4 linked regions of the Arabidopsis thaliana genome follow. The protein of the gene in region 4 interacts with the protein of the main gene of each other region in a pairwise test. Each region holds a gene or a part of one and is shown on either strand. Other genes may lie near its edges.

Evidence for each region.
Region 1: the proteins of AT4G19645 (region 4) and AT4G30500 interact in a protein complementation assay, tested with the Arabidopsis thaliana proteins (one large-scale study listed by BioGRID).
Region 2: the proteins of AT4G19645 (region 4) and TBL18 interact in a protein complementation assay, tested with the Arabidopsis thaliana proteins (one large-scale study listed by BioGRID).
Region 3: the proteins of AT4G19645 (region 4) and HHP4 interact in a protein complementation assay, tested with the Arabidopsis thaliana proteins (one large-scale study listed by BioGRID).

What each region holds. Positions count from the first base shown.
Region 1 is NC_003075.7:14,901,314-14,905,508, forward strand, and holds AT4G30500 (transmembrane protein (DUF788)), read left to right. Parts: upstream 1-2,037; 5' UTR 2,038-2,244; coding exon 2,245-2,328; intron 2,329-2,527; coding exon 2,528-2,721; intron 2,722-2,998; coding exon 2,999-3,083; intron 3,084-3,189; coding exon 3,190-3,255; intron 3,256-3,358; coding exon 3,359-3,451; 3' UTR 3,452-3,695; downstream 3,696-4,195. Other genes in the region: AT4G30490 (AFG1-like ATPase family protein), read right to left, coding at 1-46, 158-237, 321-570; ATG18B (autophagy 18 B-like protein), read right to left, coding at 3,986-4,112.
Region 2 is NC_003075.7:12,967,742-12,973,144, reverse strand, and holds TBL18 (TRICHOME BIREFRINGENCE-LIKE 18), read right to left. Parts: upstream 3,587-5,403; 5' UTR 3,394-3,586; exon of another isoform or gene 3,157-3,393; 5' UTR 2,959-3,156; coding exon 2,439-2,958; intron 1,932-2,438; coding exon 1,657-1,931; intron 1,548-1,656; coding exon 741-1,547; 3' UTR 501-740; downstream 1-500. Other genes in the region: AT4G25370 (Double Clp-N motif protein), read right to left, coding at 42-77, 181-398. UniProt on the Arabidopsis thaliana protein: May act as a bridging protein that binds pectin and other cell wall polysaccharides. Probably involved in maintaining esterification of pectins. May be involved in the specific O-acetylation of cell wall polymers.
Region 3 is NC_003075.7:17,698,962-17,703,470, forward strand, and holds HHP4 (heptahelical protein 4), read left to right. Parts: upstream 1-1,672; 5' UTR 1,673-1,924; intron 1,925-2,024; exon of another isoform or gene 2,025-2,045; 5' UTR 2,046-2,254; coding exon 2,255-2,520; intron 2,521-2,612; coding exon 2,613-2,865; intron 2,866-2,953; coding exon 2,954-3,607; 3' UTR 3,608-3,991; downstream 3,992-4,509. Other genes in the region: AT4G37682 (hypothetical protein (DUF1399)), read left to right, coding at 4,500-4,509. UniProt on the Arabidopsis thaliana protein: May play a role in abiotic stress response.
Region 4 is NC_003075.7:10,689,229-10,694,613, forward strand, and holds AT4G19645 (TRAM, LAG1 and CLN8 (TLC) lipid-sensing domain containing protein), read right to left. Parts: upstream 3,604-5,385; 5' UTR 3,585-3,603; intron 2,794-3,584; exon of another isoform or gene 2,764-2,793; intron 2,735-2,763; exon of another isoform or gene 2,533-2,734; coding exon of another isoform or gene 2,446-2,532; exon of another isoform or gene 2,259-2,445; intron 2,168-2,258; 5' UTR 2,071-2,167; coding exon 1,957-2,070; intron 1,870-1,956; coding exon 1,781-1,869; intron 1,712-1,780; coding exon 1,570-1,711; intron 1,474-1,569; coding exon 1,399-1,473; intron 1,332-1,398; coding exon 1,134-1,331; intron 1,049-1,133; coding exon 989-1,048; intron 842-988; coding exon 713-841; 3' UTR 530-712; downstream 1-529. Other genes in the region: ARA7 (Ras-related small GTP-binding family protein), read right to left, coding at 183-221; AT4G19650 (Mitochondrial transcription termination factor family protein), read left to right, coding at 4,160-5,385.

The sequences.
Region 1 (4,195 bases), 4.2 Mb from region 4:
CCACAAGCTCATCATATAGTCTCTGAAGCTCTCTCAATGCACTAATCTACAACATTTCAAACACAACCTTAAGCCGCAAGTAACACGAATCACATTTAATCTTATAGCTCAAAAGCTTCAATGAAGTAAAAAAGAGTGGCTATTATTTTTATCATACTTGGCAGATATCACCAGTCATGAGTTCACCATTACTGATTCTTCTCTCATACTCAACAAGAGGACCTGTTCTATTCACATCTGTCATCATTCAACAAATATCAGCAAACCAATAAACACGAACTCTGAGATTGATAGAATTTCTTTGCAAAGAGAAACAAAACCTGAGACGGTGACCCTAGTAGTAGCAGGATCAGCTGCTTCTACTGCTTCTGCTGATAAGCCTCTAAAGATACTTGACCTTGAATACAAACTTGAATTATCAGTGTTTGTATTCAGCAGAGCTTGATTTTGATTGACACCGATCAAAAGTTTGCGGCTTTTGGAGTAGAAAGTTGAAGAATAACGTTCTTGATTGTTCCTTAGAGCCCATCTAATTCTACTGAGAGATGATAACCTAATGATTGGTCTCATCTACGATCAATGCAAATTCAATTCAGCAGCTGAAACTTTGAGATACGGAAACAGAGCAAGAACAATAACCCAAGAAGAAAAACAGAATCTTTGTATGAGAGAAATCGGATCCGGATAAGAATTAGAGCACAAGAGGAAAAAGTGAATGAGAATATTGAAAAGTTAAGTTTGATGTTTATATGTAATGACGATGATAAATCTGGATAAGAGAGATAGAGAGAGACCCAAGAATAAACGGAGATGTAGTCAAATAAGGAAGATAGAGAAGAAGATCTTTAACTGTTAAACTCTTAAAACAGAGAGATAGAGGCGTGATTAATGAGTTATTTATCAACTAAGACACGTTTTTTATTTTTTTATTTTTATATACTTTCAATTTTTTAACCAAAATTGATTGTGTTGTACTTCTAATTACATTTGTTAATGTTGATTGCATAGTTGTTTTCCAGGTCATTAGAGGATTGTATTTGTCCCTTATTTAAGAGAGTTGACTATTTTTATTCCTATGAAAAAAGTAATTTCTTGATATATCTTTACCCTAATGATGTCTACAAGTCAAATTACAAATTTTATAAACAATTTTTAACATTTGTAATTATAGTATAGAATATTGGAAACGGAAGCTTCTCGATGTTGCGTTTGCGTACAGGATACTGGTGGACCTAGCGAATGTGTCCCATACATAGGCTAAGCATATTCCAAGTGGGAGAGAGATACGTGAATCAGACATGGTCCTTAAAGATGATCCAACGGTCTATAATTTTTCTAGTTTTGTTCTCAATGGGTAAGTTGAACAATGGACCTTAATGATGACATGTTGCATTGCGTATGATTCCACGTGTCCACGTCATTTCTTACACTGCAAACATGTCTTTTTCTGACCAACCCCTAACGCTACTTTTCTTTGATACATCTTTGTTTTTGCTATAATGGTGCTTGTTGACAAAATAATACTATGTTGAATTGACCTAAAACCATACTCAGATTGGGATATCCGAGAACCATTGTGTAAGACGTGATGTTTGATCCAAATATGGGCTACACTCAAATATTGGATATAGGCCCACAAGATATGATATCTTCATTTTTTTTTGTCTATAGAACAACATAAAACAGGGAAAAAAATTTACACTACTTTTGTTCTTGTTCCGTTATAAATATCGTTTTACCGATTGATCATAGAAATGGTATACTTTTTAGTTTTTGGAACAGCGGTAAAAGGTTTTATGTTGATGTCTTCTCCGAGCGCCGGTGATTTTCACACAGACCTTGTTATTGGAAAACTGAAATAATGCAGTTTTCTGTTGATAGGCCTTAAGATGTCAGATTTTATGGGCCTTTTAGGTTGTTCTGGCCCATTTAGATAGAACTGTTTCAGTTTTCCAACAACAACTGATAAGGATAGACGAAAGCCCAAATTAAGAATCTTTGTCCTAAACCCAAGGAAAAGCGTAATTACGACACGCAGCCAAACAAAACATTTCCTGCGTGAAAAAAGTATTTGAGAAAAGAGGACGACAAAAAGGTACAGGTGTCAATATATAATTGGATTAAACAAGCTTAGACACCTAAAAGTTTTCTCTCACACCATTTGTGAAGATCCAAAGCAAAAGAAGAATTACAGAAACTGAAAAAACTATCTTCCTCGTCTCTTTGATCATTCTCTTTTAACTCATGGCGAATCAAGGAGCAAAGAAGAGGAAAGATGAGAACGCTCGACACATGGCTAAGCTCCGTCTCATTATGATCCTTTGCAACGTAACTTCCTCGTTCCTCATTTCTTAAATTCTCAATACATTAATCCGTTGAGCTTAGATTTGTTTAGATACGTTACTTGTATCAATATGGAACTAAAAATCCGTTGAATTTGATCTTTAGGTCTCGAAAGTTTCAATGTTTAGCTGATTTTGTTTCGATGAATTCGAGGATTGATGTTTTTGGCAATATGTGTTTGCAGATTTTGTATGTCCTAGTGAGGGTTATAATTTCGCATTCAAGTCATACCTGGAAAAATTGGATTGGTCTTGTGTTAACATCGTTAGGTTACGGGATTCCATATAAGCTTCTTCATCAAATGGCAAAGCCTAGTGTTAGTGATGCTGGTGAACTTCTTGATGGTGGATTTGACATGAGCACTCCTGGAATGTGTGGGTACGTTCGGAAAGATTTGTCTTTTAAATTGATCAACTAGAAAGTGCCTGCTTTTGTCTCAAGTGTTTCTGTATAGTTGGATTCTGTTTCCATAACCAAAAGCAATAGTAGGAGGACTGTTTCATTATCAGTTGTTTGAAATGAGTGATGTTTTACTAGTTGTGGCTTTCTCCGAGTTTTATCGTTTATCAGTTGCTACATAATCGTCATCTTTATGGTGGATTGGATTTATGGTAGATTCTATAGTATAAGCCTGATGCTCTATTCTTCCTTGCAGATATTTGCATGATGTACTCTACATCACCTGCTTTGTGCAGGTCGGATCTATCATCTCTGGAAAGTTTTGGTACGCGTATTTAGTGGTATGATACCCATCTCAATTTTCTTTATTGCCATATTTTAAGGCAAACAACAGATTTGCTCTGTAGGAATGATGCAACCATTTACTTTTGCTTGTTTTTATTTTAGATCCCTGCATTTGGAGCATACAAAGCTTCTGGTCTTATTAAGGGACTATTGTCACATGGTTCAGAGGTAATCACTTTGTCTTGAATACTCTCAAAGTGCTTTGAACAAGGGGGAAATAAAACATGATCATTTAAAATGGACTGTGTTTTGTCTATATGACTGAACTTAGGGAGGTGTTGAGGATGAGAAGACTCGCAAAAAGAGGGAGAAGATGGAGAGAAAAGCTTCTAGAGGACAAGTCGTTAAGACAAGATCTCGATGAATGTCTTAAACATTCATCTTTAGCAAACACAATTAGCAAATCTTTCTTCAAACATACAAAATGCAAATCAATGGGTAAATACTCTTGACTTTGTAATGTACCTGTCTTTACACTATTTTGACTTAATGGATGTGTTAAGATGAAGTAGACTAATAGTCTTGAGTAGGATACAGTGAATTCTCATAAGATAAAAGACTTTTGCTCTTTGGATTATGATGATGTTATGACTTGTGAGCCATTAGACCGACAAATGATCCTGACTTGAAAATTCTGATTCATAGCTAAAGAGCCTTGACTGTAACTATGGAGTAAGTGGGATATGATGGAAAGAGTTGGGAAACCATTTTGTATTTCATTTCTTCAACACAAATCAAGATTAAGATACAGTAATAGCACGGAAGAGCTAATTATATTTGCGAATAACCAAAGAACATGAGACTATAAACATATTCTTAATGAACCCAAGGTACAAAAATTGTTACATACAAAAAAGTTGCCCAGTACTTTCATATATTTGATATTTGGTTGTATACATCACCCGGTGGTTATGGAGAAGAGATTGAATTCACGTTCCAGTGTCCATAGAGACTCATTCTTGTTATTGATACTTAGCGTATACTCCTGGAAATATCCGTTATAAGTGATCACCGATACCGTTGCTCTGAAAAGAACGTGAAAGGTAAAAGATTATCAAAACTTGTCATGTAACCATGGTTTCAAAATGAAGATATCCTAAAATCTTAC
Region 2 (5,403 bases), 2.3 Mb from region 4:
TACAATTACAAATTCTATACGTAATTTGGAGTGAGACTCACTTTGGGATCTTATCCGAAGAACCATTCTCCGGTTGCCTGAAAAATTCAACCTTAACACCCTAAGCTTCAATATCCGTGGTGAAAGGAAAAACCCAGAAATGATAAAGATGTAAAAGAGCTGTCAGATAAAAAAACTAACGCAATAGGGACGTTTAAGACCGTGCTGGCCGAGGTCAAGCACCGGAGCTTGGGGACGAAGCAGCGATGCGACGGTTGTGTCGCCAGAAGCTTCTTACCTAACAGAGAAGACGTTAGAGGAATCCGAGAAGAAGACGAGGGAGATCCATTCTGTCTCGAAACAAAGATCCGAGGATTAGAGAGCGTCAAAGGGATAAAGGAGACTGTGTACGACGCCATTTTCACTCTTGAGGAATCAAAAGCTTTTGGTCGGGCTTTGGGTGAGTCAGTGAGATAGGCGATTATTACTCAGCTATTTTGCAAATGCGCCCCCCCCAGTTTATATAATTTATGAAATTTCGACTAGTATGAATAAACTTGAACTCATAACTCCCAAATCTTAAATTTCAATCTCAGGACAAACGAACCAACAAGTATAGTGGAACAAATTCTAATCCTAACTCACCGTGCCTAGCACAAATCTACAAGTGAGTTTATCTTTGAGTTTATCAGTAACCAAGAATCAGATTAATAGTATAAGTCGTGTAATATGCTCTCTCATCCTTTGAGTTTCAAACCAAGTCAAGTTGATGAGCTTTTCCTGTCTCTCCTTATGAGCTCCAAGACCATTTCGTTCCATGTATCGACTGGTCCTGGCATGCACCAGTGCAAGCAGTCCTGAGGTGGAGGCCGTCCGTCTGGTCCCCGTTTAGTGATCTTGTTAGGGTCAGGACTTCTGAATGGACCAGGATGACCATCATGGCGATATCCAAATGCCTCTGTGATATCCATCAGCTTTAGTTTTAGCTTCAAATTCTCCGCGACTTTATCGACGGCTTGGTTATATCCTGTCGCTTGCTTCTCATGCATTATCTCTGTGAATCCGTTTTTCACTAGCTTCCCTGGAAGGATGGGTTCTTCTTTCCCCGTGCATGATCCACCTGTGTTCCAAGCACCACCTTCGTAATGATCAGGTGAGAATGTTCTCACAATGGTCAAACCGCTGTAGTTCGGGTGTGTAGCCATGGACTTAAGGATTGTTTCAACTGATATTCCAAATGCATCCACGTTATTGACTTTCATGGGTTTTGATTTGTCTGGCCACCATAATTGGCCTCCCACGATCTCTTCTTTCAATATGTAGACAGACTGCTTTGCAAACCAGTGCCCTGATGAGAGGACAACCACGTCGAATTTCGGGATAGCTTCCATTATGCGCTCATCAGGAAGATCCAGCTTTAGTTTTGTGACACCTTCAGGAGCATAATCGAATTTTTCGTTGAACTGATGAACAAGCCAAGATGACCAAATACGGGCAATCATTACTGATGATTGCTTAAAATACCATCTCTGCATCTTTCGGCTCCCACGATTGACTGGTGTTTCAACCTGAAAACAGAAACCTACTTTAATATAATACATACGATCTCCTGAAGCTGAATAAAGCAACACAATAGATCCCTTATACCGGTTTTCACCATTAAATTGAATTACTTGCCTGCCAAAGAAGGCACAACATGGACTCCATCTGATTACGAGCTACTGAATCTCCTATAAAGGCCAGTGTCTTGCCTTTCATAAGTTCAAGAAATTTTCTGGCATCAAACCGAGGAAGCTCACACTGAGACGGTTTCCATCTCCAGTTCTCATATCCCTTGTCAGGTCTTCCATTTCCCTGGCAATTCTGCATCTGCGTCAGGACAGGGCAAGAGTTGTTCGTGTAGAGAGGTCCCCCAGGATCATAAAACCAACTACCTTGATACAAATCACACTCTACAAGCAATCAAAGATTTGAGTAAGCGACAAACTCATAACAGAAATATAAAACATCGAACAGCTAGAATCATGAGAAGCAAGGGAAACTGACAAGAACAGATCTATGAAACTGCTCTTCTTATTCCAATTCACCAAAACAGGTAGAACTCTCAACCAAATGCCCACAAAGCCTAGAAACTCTAACCCCTAAAACAAAATGCTGAGACCACCTTACAAGCCCAGCACTCACTATCTGCTCCCTAACCAAGTTTTTACTCTAATCTGCTATATTCAGTCCTCGGCTAGAATAATTACAGTAGGTCTATAGCTAAGAGTTTAGCCGCTGAATTTCTTTAAAACTTCTCAGAAACTTACGCCTTTCCATAGAAATGCAAAACTAAATGTTCTATAACATTCCCACACTAGCTTAGTCTTTGTTTATTGAAATTTAAGCTACCATAACTCAAAATGTTCCAAATACGACAAAAGCTACGGAAATAAGCGTTTAAAAGATAACAACAGTACCTGGTTCTGCTGAAGCAGTTTCAGAGACATCATCTGGAGGAGATGATGCACTTGGAGTGTCTTCAGCCTTGGAAACATTGGTTTCACGTTCACCTGATTGAACATCAGTCTTTTCAGTTATATCCGAAGAAACCAAATCCTCTTTTTCTTGTGTCAAAGGTGTCTCCAACTTCCTATCACTACTGAAATCTGGAGGTGGTATACTTTTGCTAACAACAACAGGTAAGCCAGAGCTAGAATCAGAAGTCAGATTTTTATCAAACGCATTGATGTCACTACTCTTCTGAAGGATATTGACAGTATGGTTGCTCAAAGATAAAGGGACATGAACTTGTTCAGGATTCCCTATCCCATAAAATATGCCACCAACTGAAGAACTATTCGGATACGAAAGACGAAGCAACAATCCGAAAACAAAGAATGATGCCAAACCACCAATAGCAATTGCAACTGTAGACACTTTCCGAGGAAATCCAGCCGCAGCTAATATAGAATTATTCCTAGGAGAACCAAAAGCCATGGTTTCTTCACTAGTAGATACCCAGAACCAATACAAGCAACAAGAACCAGAGCTTATAGGTGATAATTCAATATCAACATTATTCAAAATGTTATCTTCAGGGGCATGCAATACGCAAGTGAACTAAGTGAATCTGTTACTTGATTCAATCTTCCACTGGATCACAGATAAGATTTCACCTTCTTCAGGATCTGGAATCTGGAAGAGCAACACTATGAGCAAACATACTTAAAGGCGAAAGAAGAAAACAAGATGATCGATCTAATAAATCATCAAATAGCACAAATCCAGAATATAAATGTGAATCTAACTCAGATTCAGCTCAAATCATTACGTATTCAGATTTTCAGAAAAAAAACAAACAATTTTTCAGAAGATTATCTTCTTCACTAAGCAGATCCAAACGAAGAAGAAGAAGAAAGAGAATCTACGAACCTAGAGAAAATGATCCTTGTTGTCTTCTTGTAGGTGAAGCGAGCTCAGAAGATTCAGAAGAAATCCACAACAGTGAAGACGCGAAATCAAAAAATTAAACAAAGGTTAGTTATAGTTTTATTAGTTAATTGTTTTCCGGAAATAATCAAACGAATTTAGTGGTAATTTATTCCTTAAATTAATCATTTGTTTCTTCTTCCGGAGCCCATTAATGCCGTCTGTGATCTCATCGGCGCGTATACGACCACGCGATGATGTAAAGTTACGAAACTACCCTTCGGTCAACACCACCATAACATTGCGTATATTTCGAATTTTGTAACATTGCTAATATTTCGAATTGTTTGTTTGTCACTTCGCGTTATATGACACAACGATTGTTGTTTTCACATAAAAAAAAAAACCCTACTAGTCATCATCTAATGTAACACTCCAGCATATGACAAAATCGCCGAAATATTATTTATTATTATATAGGTAAAATAGAATTACAATATGCTCTTCTATAGTATATAGTAATCTAAAAAGTTGCATCATAAAATAAATTATTAGAAAAAGATCGAAAATAGGTGATATATCATATCATCATTACAATAGGTGTGAGTCGTCCGTCGCCTCTGACTGGTCCTTCCTTTCGGGCACGATAGCAGGCATAAGCCACTATCAGTGCGATGATGATTAATACACCGACTGAAATTCCAGAAATTGCGATAAACTTCATTGGATCAGTCCCCATGTTTGTTTTACCACACGCACCCAGAAAAAAGTTTATTTCTACTGTTTTTATTTTTTGTCATGTCTTCTTGTGACACAGTATGTTTACATTTATTTACAATTATTTACATTTCTGTTAATAAAGTCCGTGAAATTTGTAAGTTTTACATTTTATTATTTAAGAAAATTAACAAGGATGAACTGGAAAATTACACTTTAAAGAATATTAATTAGGAAGAAATAGAAATTATACATTTTTATGGTACTTTGTTGATCTTCATACCATCAAACTGGAAATTGTACATTTTAATAGAAAATTAACTATGAAAGAATAGAAAATTTACATACGTGAGCATGTAGTAATTTAAGGCTATCACAAAAATTCGACATTTTATTTCAGAATATTCTAAAATTTTGATATTTAGGTAGCACATTATCAAATATTGTAAAATAAAATAATGGCCAGGCTTATACGATTTGAGATTTGATTCGTATCCATGAATGCCATACTCGATGAGTAGTTACTGTTGTGTGTGTATTATAGTTTTTGCTAGTTAATGTTGTTTTTACTCCTACCGCATAAAATGAAATAATGAATCATCTATATATACATTTTTGCAGCCATTTTGTGAAATAAATCTTAGAGTTGGGACTTATTTACTAGGCTGCCATTGAGTATTAATTATTGATTTTTTTCCAGCAATAAATTGATTAATAAACTAAAAATATTCCAAATATATTCAGCAACTATTTAAAACAAAAAATGTTTGACAAACAAAAATATAATTGCAATCCCTTAAAATGAGCAAAACCCACCTAAATATATTCTTTATCTATCCAATAAATCTTTTTTCTCCAAAATTTGAACTAGATTTTGGCAACTATTTTAAACAAATATTTGTTTGACAAACCAAAATACAATTGCAATCCCGTAAAATATTTCTTTTAATTATATATTTAAATTAGCGGTGTACCGCGGTTTTTTTTTACGGGGCGGATTTGGCGAGACGGGTTTGGTAAGACGTTATTTAATAACAATTGTAAACTATAAAATAAAAATAAATAGATTTAATTTGCAAACTTTTATATATACTAATTTAAAAAATAAGTTGTCCGCGGGTTAAAATCTAGTCATGGTTATTTTAATTAGGTGAAATCAGCCTTGGATAATTTTAAAAACTAAAACCAATTGTTTGTAAGTAAAGAATTAATAAATTAGTGTAATTTCTAAGTTTTCAAATTATTATATAAATAAAATAAATAAATATGTATTTATAAGCACAAAAAAAGGAAATG
Region 3 (4,509 bases), 7.0 Mb from region 4:
TAAGTAGGTATTTTATTTATTGTTTATTTTTCCATATTTTCTTCAATAGTCTTTTTCTATTATTATTTATTGTTTATTTTTCCATATTTTCTTCAATAGTCTTTTTCTATTATTATTTATTGTTTATTTTTCCATATTTTCTTCTTTAGTCTTTCTCTATTACTATTTGACGGAACTCTTTGAATGTCTGGTCGTTACAAGCTTAAGTTGTGTCCCCACATGGAAGTTATTCGGTTGGGTCCATCGAAGGAAAATTGATTGAACCGGTCTGGTCATTCTCTCCCAAACTATAGAACCAATTTCGGTCTGCATCGGAGTTTCGAAGTCGCGGACTTATCAGAGTGGGCTTTTTAAGGAATGTTTTTAGAATATTTACCAGCCCAATCCCATTTTAAGTATGTCCAGATCTTAATTTGGCGAGCCTTTTTATATATGGTGAACAACTGATTCTAATGTGTATGTTTCACTTTTATTAGAGAAAAAATGTGAAAAGATTTAATGTGTATGTTTCACTTTTATTAGAGAAAAAATGTGAAAAGATTCTTAAAAGTATTTATTTATGCTAATTGGCAAAACTAAAACATCAATTTATGTACATCATTTTAGTTCTTCCTCTAAGATTTGATTGATTTGTATTAATGGCTCTGAATACTGATACTAGTTTCGTTGGCAAGTAAGATAAGTGATAACTTTGATAAAGAGTGTCAAATTACAAGTGCCACAATTTGGAGTACGTAACCAAATTGACATAAAACTTGAATAGGTGAAAAAACGAGCCAGAAAAAAAACGAATATCTTCTGCTTATCCGAATAAAACGAAAGTAATATTCTTACAAGATCCTTCCTTATGAAGTAGTGCCAGTAGATATTTTTATCATTGTGATTGCGACCTGTTTGTTGCGATTCATTTATGCCAATTCACGTTACTATTTATGTTGTGATAAAATCTTTTATTTTTCTTCTTCTTTCCAAATACTTAAGTATGCATGATTATTGATCCGTACAAGCATAAACGAAGAGCTATAAAGTCTCCAACGGTAAACGTACGTGAACCAAAATAACAATTCAATATTATGGTTCGAATTATTCTGTGTATTTTATGTAAGAAAATAACCAAAACCGACTCGAAACAAAACAAAAAAATCTTCTGAAATGTGAATCTTTATTTCGGAAAATTCTTAACGATAGATAGTTTTTGCTTTAAAATTAAATCCAAACATAAACTAGAACTGAAATTCAATTCGTTGTCAATATTTTCTATACAAAAAAAAAAAAGAAATCCGACCAAATAAACAAAACCATAAATAGACATCTCCATTTTTAGTTGAAAGATGATTAAATGCAATAAATGTGCCACAATCATAAATTTTTCCTTTTCACCTAATTGAAAATTTTAATCATTAATAAGAAGAATCCATGGAGCACAATTATTTTATTTTTTATTTTTTGCTCTCATATGGTATGTTAAATTAATTTTCCCTTAATTTAAATTCCCCATATCAAATAAGTTTTTTTTTTTTTGAGAAAGACTTGATTTCATAGGAGAAATATTTGTTAATATTTTCGACAAAACATTTTCTCTGTTTGATGTATTTCCATCCTCGTACAATAAATACTCTAGCTATTAAATTCTTAGCCCAAACGAAAATAAAGAAAAATAAAAGGGTCCTACTAATAAACAAAACAAAACTAGTGGTCCCAATTTGAAATATATAAAAATATATAAAATTCATAAAGCTTTGTGGCTTCAGAGCTTCCACTTCCATCGTCGTCTTCTATTTTTTCTTCTTTCTTCGATTTCATACCAAAACAAGAACTCTCTGTTTTCGACAAAAACGAAACCTTGAGATCTATTTTGATTGACTTTTAAGAAAGAGAGAGATCTTTCTTAGAAGATTTTGTCTCGTCGGCATTGAAGATCCAGGTAACAAAATCTCACCTTTTCTCTCCTAATTTCACGAAATCGAAGAAAAATTCTCATAATTCTCTTAATTACTTATCTCTCAATTTCTTAAATCTTACAGGGTTTGTCTTTCGAAATTCAGGTAATTTTCTCAAATCCATTTATGGATTGAAGCTTTAGGTAATGAATGAGCTGAATCTGCATATAAAAATCGATACTTTCATTATCCAGAACAAAACAAGATTTAGCATAAACGTTCAAAATTGAAACTTTGATTCCTAACTTCTTGGAATGATTCAGATTGAGCTAGATTTAGATCTGTATGATTGATATTATGGGTTTGGTTTGTTTATGAGTAGAGAGAAAATGGGTGATGAGGCAGAGATCAAGGAACATTTAAAGCCACAAGCTTCATCTGAAACAATGGACAAGAAACATAATGTGAAAGGGAAGAGGTTATGGCAGAAAGTCAAGTATCAATTGGTGGAGTTTCATTCATTGCCTGCTTATTTAAGAGACAATGAGTACATCATTGGTCATTACCGATCCGAATGGCCGATCAAACAGATTCTTCTCAGCATCTTTACCATTCATAATGAGACTTTGAATGTTTGGACGTAAGTGTTGAATCATGTTTCTTGATGTATCCTTGTTTAAAGTTCAAGAGCCTTGAGTGTGTTTGTGTGTGTGTGTTCTTTGGGATTTGCAGGCACTTGATTGGGTTTTTCCTGTTTTTGGCGCTCACTATATACACTGCAACGAAAGTACCGAGTGTCGTGGATCTTCATTCGCTTCAACACCGTTTACCCGATTTGTTGAGGAAAACAGATCTCCACAAACTTCATTCTGAGCTCATGGCTCGCCTTCCTTCTAGTCCATCTAGTTGGCATGTGATGGACCTTCTTTATAACTGTTTGCCTGAAAGATTTTCTCATGGCAACTACACTGACATGTGTGTTCTGGTAAGAAAAGACTCAATCTTTCTCTCTATTCCTGCAGATTACTGTTTCAAAATGTGGCCAAGTTCATATCTTTGTAATTGCATTGCAGCATTCTGTGAGGGAAGATCTTGCAAACTTGATAGCTCCTTTGATCTTCAGGCCAATTACTCGATGGCCGTTTTATGCATTTCTAGGTGGTGCTATGTTCTGTCTATTAGCAAGCAGCACGTGCCACCTCCTCTCATGTCACTCCGAGCGAGTCTCCTACATAATGCTTAGGCTTGATTACGCCGGCATCGCAGCTCTAATAGCGACTTCCTTCTACCCTCCGGTTTATTACTCCTTCATGTGTGATCCTTTCTTCTGCAACCTCTACTTAGGATTCATAACCATCTTAGGAATCGCCACTGTGCTTGTTTCTCTCCTCCCGGTTTTCCAAAGCCCGGAGTTTCGGGTGGTGAGGGCGTCTCTGTTCTTTGGAATGGGATTCTCTGGCTTAGCTCCGATTCTTCACAAGCTGATAATCTTTTGGGACCAACCTGAAGCCCTTCACACGACAGGTTATGAGATTTTGATGGGTTTGCTTTATGGGTTAGGAGCTCTGGTTTATGCAACTAGGATCCCAGAGAGATGGATGCCGGGTAAATTCGATATAGCAGGACATAGCCATCAGTTGTTTCATGTTCTGGTTGTTGCTGGTGCGTTCACGCACTATAGAGCTGGGCTAGTGTATCTTAAGTGGAGAGATATTGAAGGATGTTGAAGATGAAGATTGAAGATTAGATGGAATCTTTGAATCTTGTTTGTAGTAGCTTCATATAAAAGTTGGATTATGTAAAGTCTTATATGTAATCAAACGTTTAATTGTTTCCTTTATTCAACAAAGGATTTATATTGTTAATCCACATATGTATTACTGGTTAAAGAAGCTGAAGGATTCATATTTTTAGATGATTCCAGTCTTGATTGCAGCATTCAAAGTATCATAATCCAGTGTCAACCTCATATAGCCTCCTTGTGAACCTGACACAAGCCTAATTGTTCCATGGCAGAGGATACTTTGATTCTGATCTTCTTCTTGAAGGTTTCCCCTGATTGGTATACATTTCGAATGATCCATAAGTGTTGATAAACTACAAGTACACAAAATATGAAACAAAATCTATGCACATCAATAAAAATTCAGAAATCAATAAAATTTACTCTGAAAATGCAGAACATTTATAAGTGTTTGTTATTGTTTTCAATATATGAGAGGAGGAGCTCCCCTACTATTTTTATATTTTTAGCCAATGAGAGAGCTCCACTTCATACCCCACTTTTACCAATCGTGCTATTTCACAGCCACTCTCACTCATGTCGCGTTGAGCGCGTGTCTACGATTTCTAAAGGGGTTAATCCACAAAAATCATGCATTTTTGGATCCACGCACCTCATTCTCAAAAACCCATCGCGTGTCGTATTTTTTTTGGTTTTCTTCTCTAAACCAAATTAAACCGAACCGAGATCAATTTGAATTTCAAAACCAATGTAAACCCATCGCTGTGAAAACAAAAAGCTCGGCCACTGTAACAACAAAAATGGAGACGACACAACTTGGAAGAGAAATCAACTCGAAATAGCCAAGAGAATGTTCGTAAACCCCCTCAAATCCGATGCTTCCTT
Region 4 (5,385 bases):
TCTGATCAAAGCTCTCCAATTCAACATCACGTATCAAAATTCTCCAAATTAGAAACAGAATCAAATCCAGAAAACTGAAAATCTAACAAAACGGGTCTGCAAATTCAATCAATTTTACGATCATCGGAGAGAGACAAACCAACCACAAGGGAACTCAAAAGAATCGAGCTAATAAGACTGACCAATTTGGCGTTAATGCTCTTGTTTCCAGCTGCAGCCATGGATTATCGATCTGAAGAGAATCGCAGGTCGATACGATAATCTTCAGCTCAAAACTGAGATTGAAGATCAAAAGACGACGGAGACACAAAAAGGTTAAAAAAAATTAGTGAGCGGAAACGCGTCGTCAACAACAACCAATCTCCTCCTCCTCAATTAATGTTGCTTTCTTTCTAGAACTAACAAAAAATACAAGTAAACAAATATTACACGGCAAGTTAATATGACACGAAAAAACTACGAATATAATCGTTGGCCCAATGTAGATTTAGGCCCAAGTCTTTTTGGGTTAAGTCCTCTATTGATTTCGTACATGGATTTAAGTATTCAGCATGCATAGGGACTGTTGTGGGAATAATGGGAATGAGATTTTGAACATAATTAGTGTATAAGCTAAAAGTTAGAAACAAACCATATCTTTGTTGCTTATAAACTTGTAAGATTCTTCATAAGAGTTTTATATTTACATAAAAAAAAAAACACAACTCTTTCTTCACTGTCTTTTCTCAAGAGTTTTCTTCAATCCCTTCACTATCTTACCAAACCAGATCAAGTTCATGACACTCAATGAAATCGGTACAACAAATACCAGTAGATAACCGAATGTATGCATCTCTATCACCTGCCGAAAAATCCATTGATCATCAATTCATTATCTCTAAACCTAACCAATACAACAGCAAAAAAAAAAAAAAAACAGAGTAATTCCTATTTTTCCTAAAGGCTAGACCGTTTGGTTTAGAGATAATCAAACCGAAATCTTGATTACCTGATCATAATGTGTGTAGACATGGTAAAACATGTAGATGAACAGAAGAATTCTTGCTGTCTGCAAACAAAACATCATTGCTATAAAAAAGGAGATCAAGTTTTCAGACATTTACAACGAAAAACAAAGGTTTTAAGAAACTCACCAACCAAGCAAAGAATATAGCAACTCCATTAACAAGATAAGCTTTAGATCGTTTCAAACCAGCAATGTCAAGGTACCATCTAAGATTGATCTCTGGTGTAGTCACTTCAGAGATTAAAACCATGTATGTGTAAAGCTGAGCCTCTCCAGAGAACAAAGAATACGCTACTGCTGTTCCAGATAAGCAGTGATGTAATATCTGAAACAAAAAACACAAGATTGTCAAGTAATTGAAGACCACATAAGCTTTCATGTGTCTAACTTACATATTCTGATCCTCCTAAAGAAGGGTATAACCAAAAGATCATTCCAAGATCCGCAAGAAAGTAACCAACTGATACCTATGCAAAAAACACATCACAACAAAGTACCATATAAGTTGATCAATGCTCATGAGTAGGACTTGTGAGATAAAATGAAGAAAGATCAAAACTTACTCCTAAACCAAAGGTAGACAGAGGCGAGTTACGAAACACCGTAAGGGTTTCAAGGCTTCTTTGGTCAGAAAACAAATCAGAGAAGAACGCAAAGTATAATGCCATGAATGAGATAAAGATCGCATGGACTGTAGAAATTCCCCTGTCAAGCCAAAGTGATAAGAGACTAGAGCATAACATATAAAGGCTGAAACAAGGAACCTATACATACCTGTTGTTCCATTCAATTCTCTTTATTTTTGTGAGAGCTGAGTATGATTTGACATGAATTGAGCTGAATAACTCCGTAAGATCATATACCTAAGAACATAAGCTACACTGTTTAAAAACAGAATGCAGAAAAAAGTGAAGTTTCTGCAATTGTAAGTGAAGAGAAGCAAAACTTACCAATTTGCAAAGACAGATTCCAACAAGAACAGAAGTATATGGAAGAAATGGATCTGCTAATAAATAGTGTTCAACAAAATACTCTGCTTGATTTTGGTAAGATTTGATCTCCATGACTGTCTCTAGTTCTCAATTTCTTCTTTGGTGAATGGTTTTAACTCTTCTTCTTCTACAGACTAATCACTTCTCTCAAGCTTTATCATCATCATTACTGAAATATAGAAAAGAAAGAGCAAAGTAAGAAACTTCATTTCTGAACAAAAAGTCTTTTCAAGGATTATACAAATGGTTTTGTGAATTACATCAGAAGAAACCACAAAAATCTTCGTTATACCCAAGAAGAAGATACTAAAAGACTCTGTTTTTATCGTTTGATCAGAGAAAATCCAATTTTGTAACAATAAGTTTAAACTTTAAAACGGACAAAAAGTAGAGACAGAAGCAATCAACACGTGAACCGCAAAAGGCTGCAGAAGAAACGCAAAGAAGATGAAGAAGGAGAAGGACGTTACAGAGACGATTATGAGAGAAGAAAAAAAGGGTTCTTTCTTCAGAGACTTCGAGAAATTATCCAAAGTTAAGAGAGTTTTTTACCAAGTAACTTGAAGCGCAAGAGGGTGCAGTAGTAATTAAAAAAACAAAACTACCAAAGTAGTTATCTTAAGAATAATCGAGAGAGAAGACAACTATTGACAAAGATAATTCAGTTTGGGTTTTGTTTTAAGGATATGCTTAATAGTTAATAACATGTAATTAGGGAGGAAACAAAGGAAGCAGAAAATGGTTGTATAAATTATGGATTCTGACCTTGTTAGACGATTTAAATCGAGTGTGCAGGAAAACCTAAGGGAGAATATGTTAATTATGAAATATTATATCTTTTATATTGAAAGCACCAAATCATCTTGTTTTTGGTTGTATCTTATATATAAAAGGGTAAGGTAGGTGGATTTTAGGAGGAGCCAAGGATTTGTTTTTTGTTTTTTCTTGCAGAAATTTGGTAATTTTGGCTTTTATAATTTTGTTACAAATAGTGAATAAAATATTAAAAAAATAAGAGAAAAAAATATTTAAAGATATAGTGAATAAGATTTAACTTCATTGTTATAATCTATATTTAATAATTTACTTATAATTATAATTAAAAATTCACTTAAATAAGACATATTAAGATCTTTGAAAATAATTTATATTGTAATTTACTGTCAAAAGGTTTTGAAAAAAACAACATTTGAAAAATAATCAAAACAAATATAAAATTCATCCGAGTAAGCCACAAGTTTTATATAAAGCTGTTTTACAAAGAAAAATCATTCCTCTCAAACATAACAAATAGTCAAACAAAACATATGCAAGTTAAACAAGAGTCAAGTTATCTTTTTCCATCATGTTGAACTAAAATCTAAATGCACTTAAGATAGTCAGAAATATTTTGAAACTAAAACTAGTGATTAAAAGAATACTTGTTATTATATGTTTGGTAGGCGTTTTAGCTTGAAGATGATGACCTAACATGAATTGAATCTACCATGGACCACTTGAAATTGACCTAATAAAAAAGTTACATATCTATAAAATCAAAAATCAGAAAGACGAACAAACCATTTATGCTCGTGAAGAAAACTCACCGTTTCTTGCTGCCTTTATCTTGCATACATATAGTCAGCTCAAAGAAATCACCACTTGGTTGGGTTTTGAAGTCGTTTTATAGTGATATACTTGAAGAATTTGTAACGCTCGTGATAATAACACGATTTCGTGTGATATGTTTATCACTTTTGACAAGTCTAAACTTGACAAGTCTATTAATTCGGTATCAAAAGAGGAATAATAATATCTCACGTCAAGTCTTTTAAGGCCAAGTGTTGATGATGCACTAATTGGTACCTTTATGATATTTCGGAAACTCTTAGGCACATATTGAAGTATAGAAAAATAAGATTATGGTCGTTTCGGATATATTATAAACGTTTAGGGGCTTCTCTGAAATTTCCACCTTAATTTGAAGCCAGAACAAGGTTTAAGCAAAGTAACTGAGATTTGGCTATGAACCCTAAGAATCTTGGGAAAATGGTTGATTCAAATGCTTAATAAGCCCTAATTTCAGGTAAATTTCTTACTTGAAAGAGTAAGCATTGAGAATTCTTCATAGCTCTCTATTTGATTGTGACTTTCACCTGTTTCTCTTTGTTGTTAGGTTGCGATGTTATTATCCAGAAATCAGAGAAGAGTTCATAAACTGTTGAATATGATTTCAAATCTCAACTACTGTATAACTTTCTCATCTATTCCTCGTCAAAACCCAGTTCAAAGGTTCGACCTTTCTCGTGTTTCAGTTCCATTTCGGAGTTTTCAGATTGAAAGCTGTGTTCGTCAGGATAAATCTAAGTTACAACAACACTCGTCTCACTTACCAACTAGGTTTTTCGTTAATCCGGTATCAAGGGCTAGTAGGAATCAAGCTCAAGAAGCTCTTTTTGATTACTTGCATTATACTAGAAGCTTTACTTTTACTGATGCAGAGCATATAAGTAAGAATTCTCCTTGTTTTATGTCGACTTTGTTGTCTAAGATTGATGATAATCAGAAAGATGTATCCAAGGGATTGACTAAGTTCCTTAGGTACAATCCGATAAACGAGTTTGAACCGTTTTTCGAGAGTTTGGGTTTGTGTCCTTATGAGTTTGAAACGTTTCTTCCACGGAAGCTAATGTTTTTGAGTGATGATGGTATCATGTTTGAGAACTTTCATGCTCTTTGCAACTATGGGATCCCGCGTGGTAAGATTGGCCGTATGTATAAAGAAGCGAGAGAGATTTTTAGATATGAATCTGGGATGTTGGCGATGAAGCTAAGGGGTTATGAGAATTTGGGTCTTAGTAAGGCTACAGTTATTAAGTTAGTTACTAGTTGCCCTTTGCTACTGGTTGGTGGGATTGATGCTGAGTTTTCTTCTGTAGTTGATAAGTTGAAAGGGTTACAAGTAGGATGTGATTGGCTTGGGCGGTACTTGTCTGACCGGAAAACATATAGCTGGCGCAGAATTCTGGAGACAATAGAGTTTCTTGATAAAGTGGGATGTAAAGAGGAGAAGTTGAGTAGTCTTTTGAAAACGTATCCAGCTTTGGTAATCGAAGGCTCCGGAAAGAAATTCTATGTTCTGTTTGGTAGGTTGTTTAAAGCGGGGCTTCAAGTGAATGAGATTTATAGGCTATTTATAGACAATCCAGAGATGTTGTCAGACAAATGCGTGAAAAATATTCAGAAGACGTTGGATTTCTTGATTGCTATTAGAATGGAAACGCAGTTTATCACGAAGATTTTGCTGAGTCATATGGAGCTTATTGGTTCATGCTCTCTGCCAGCACCTAGAACTGCTTGTCTTAGTTTGAATGTTAAACAAGACGAGCTATGTAAGATCTTAAAGAA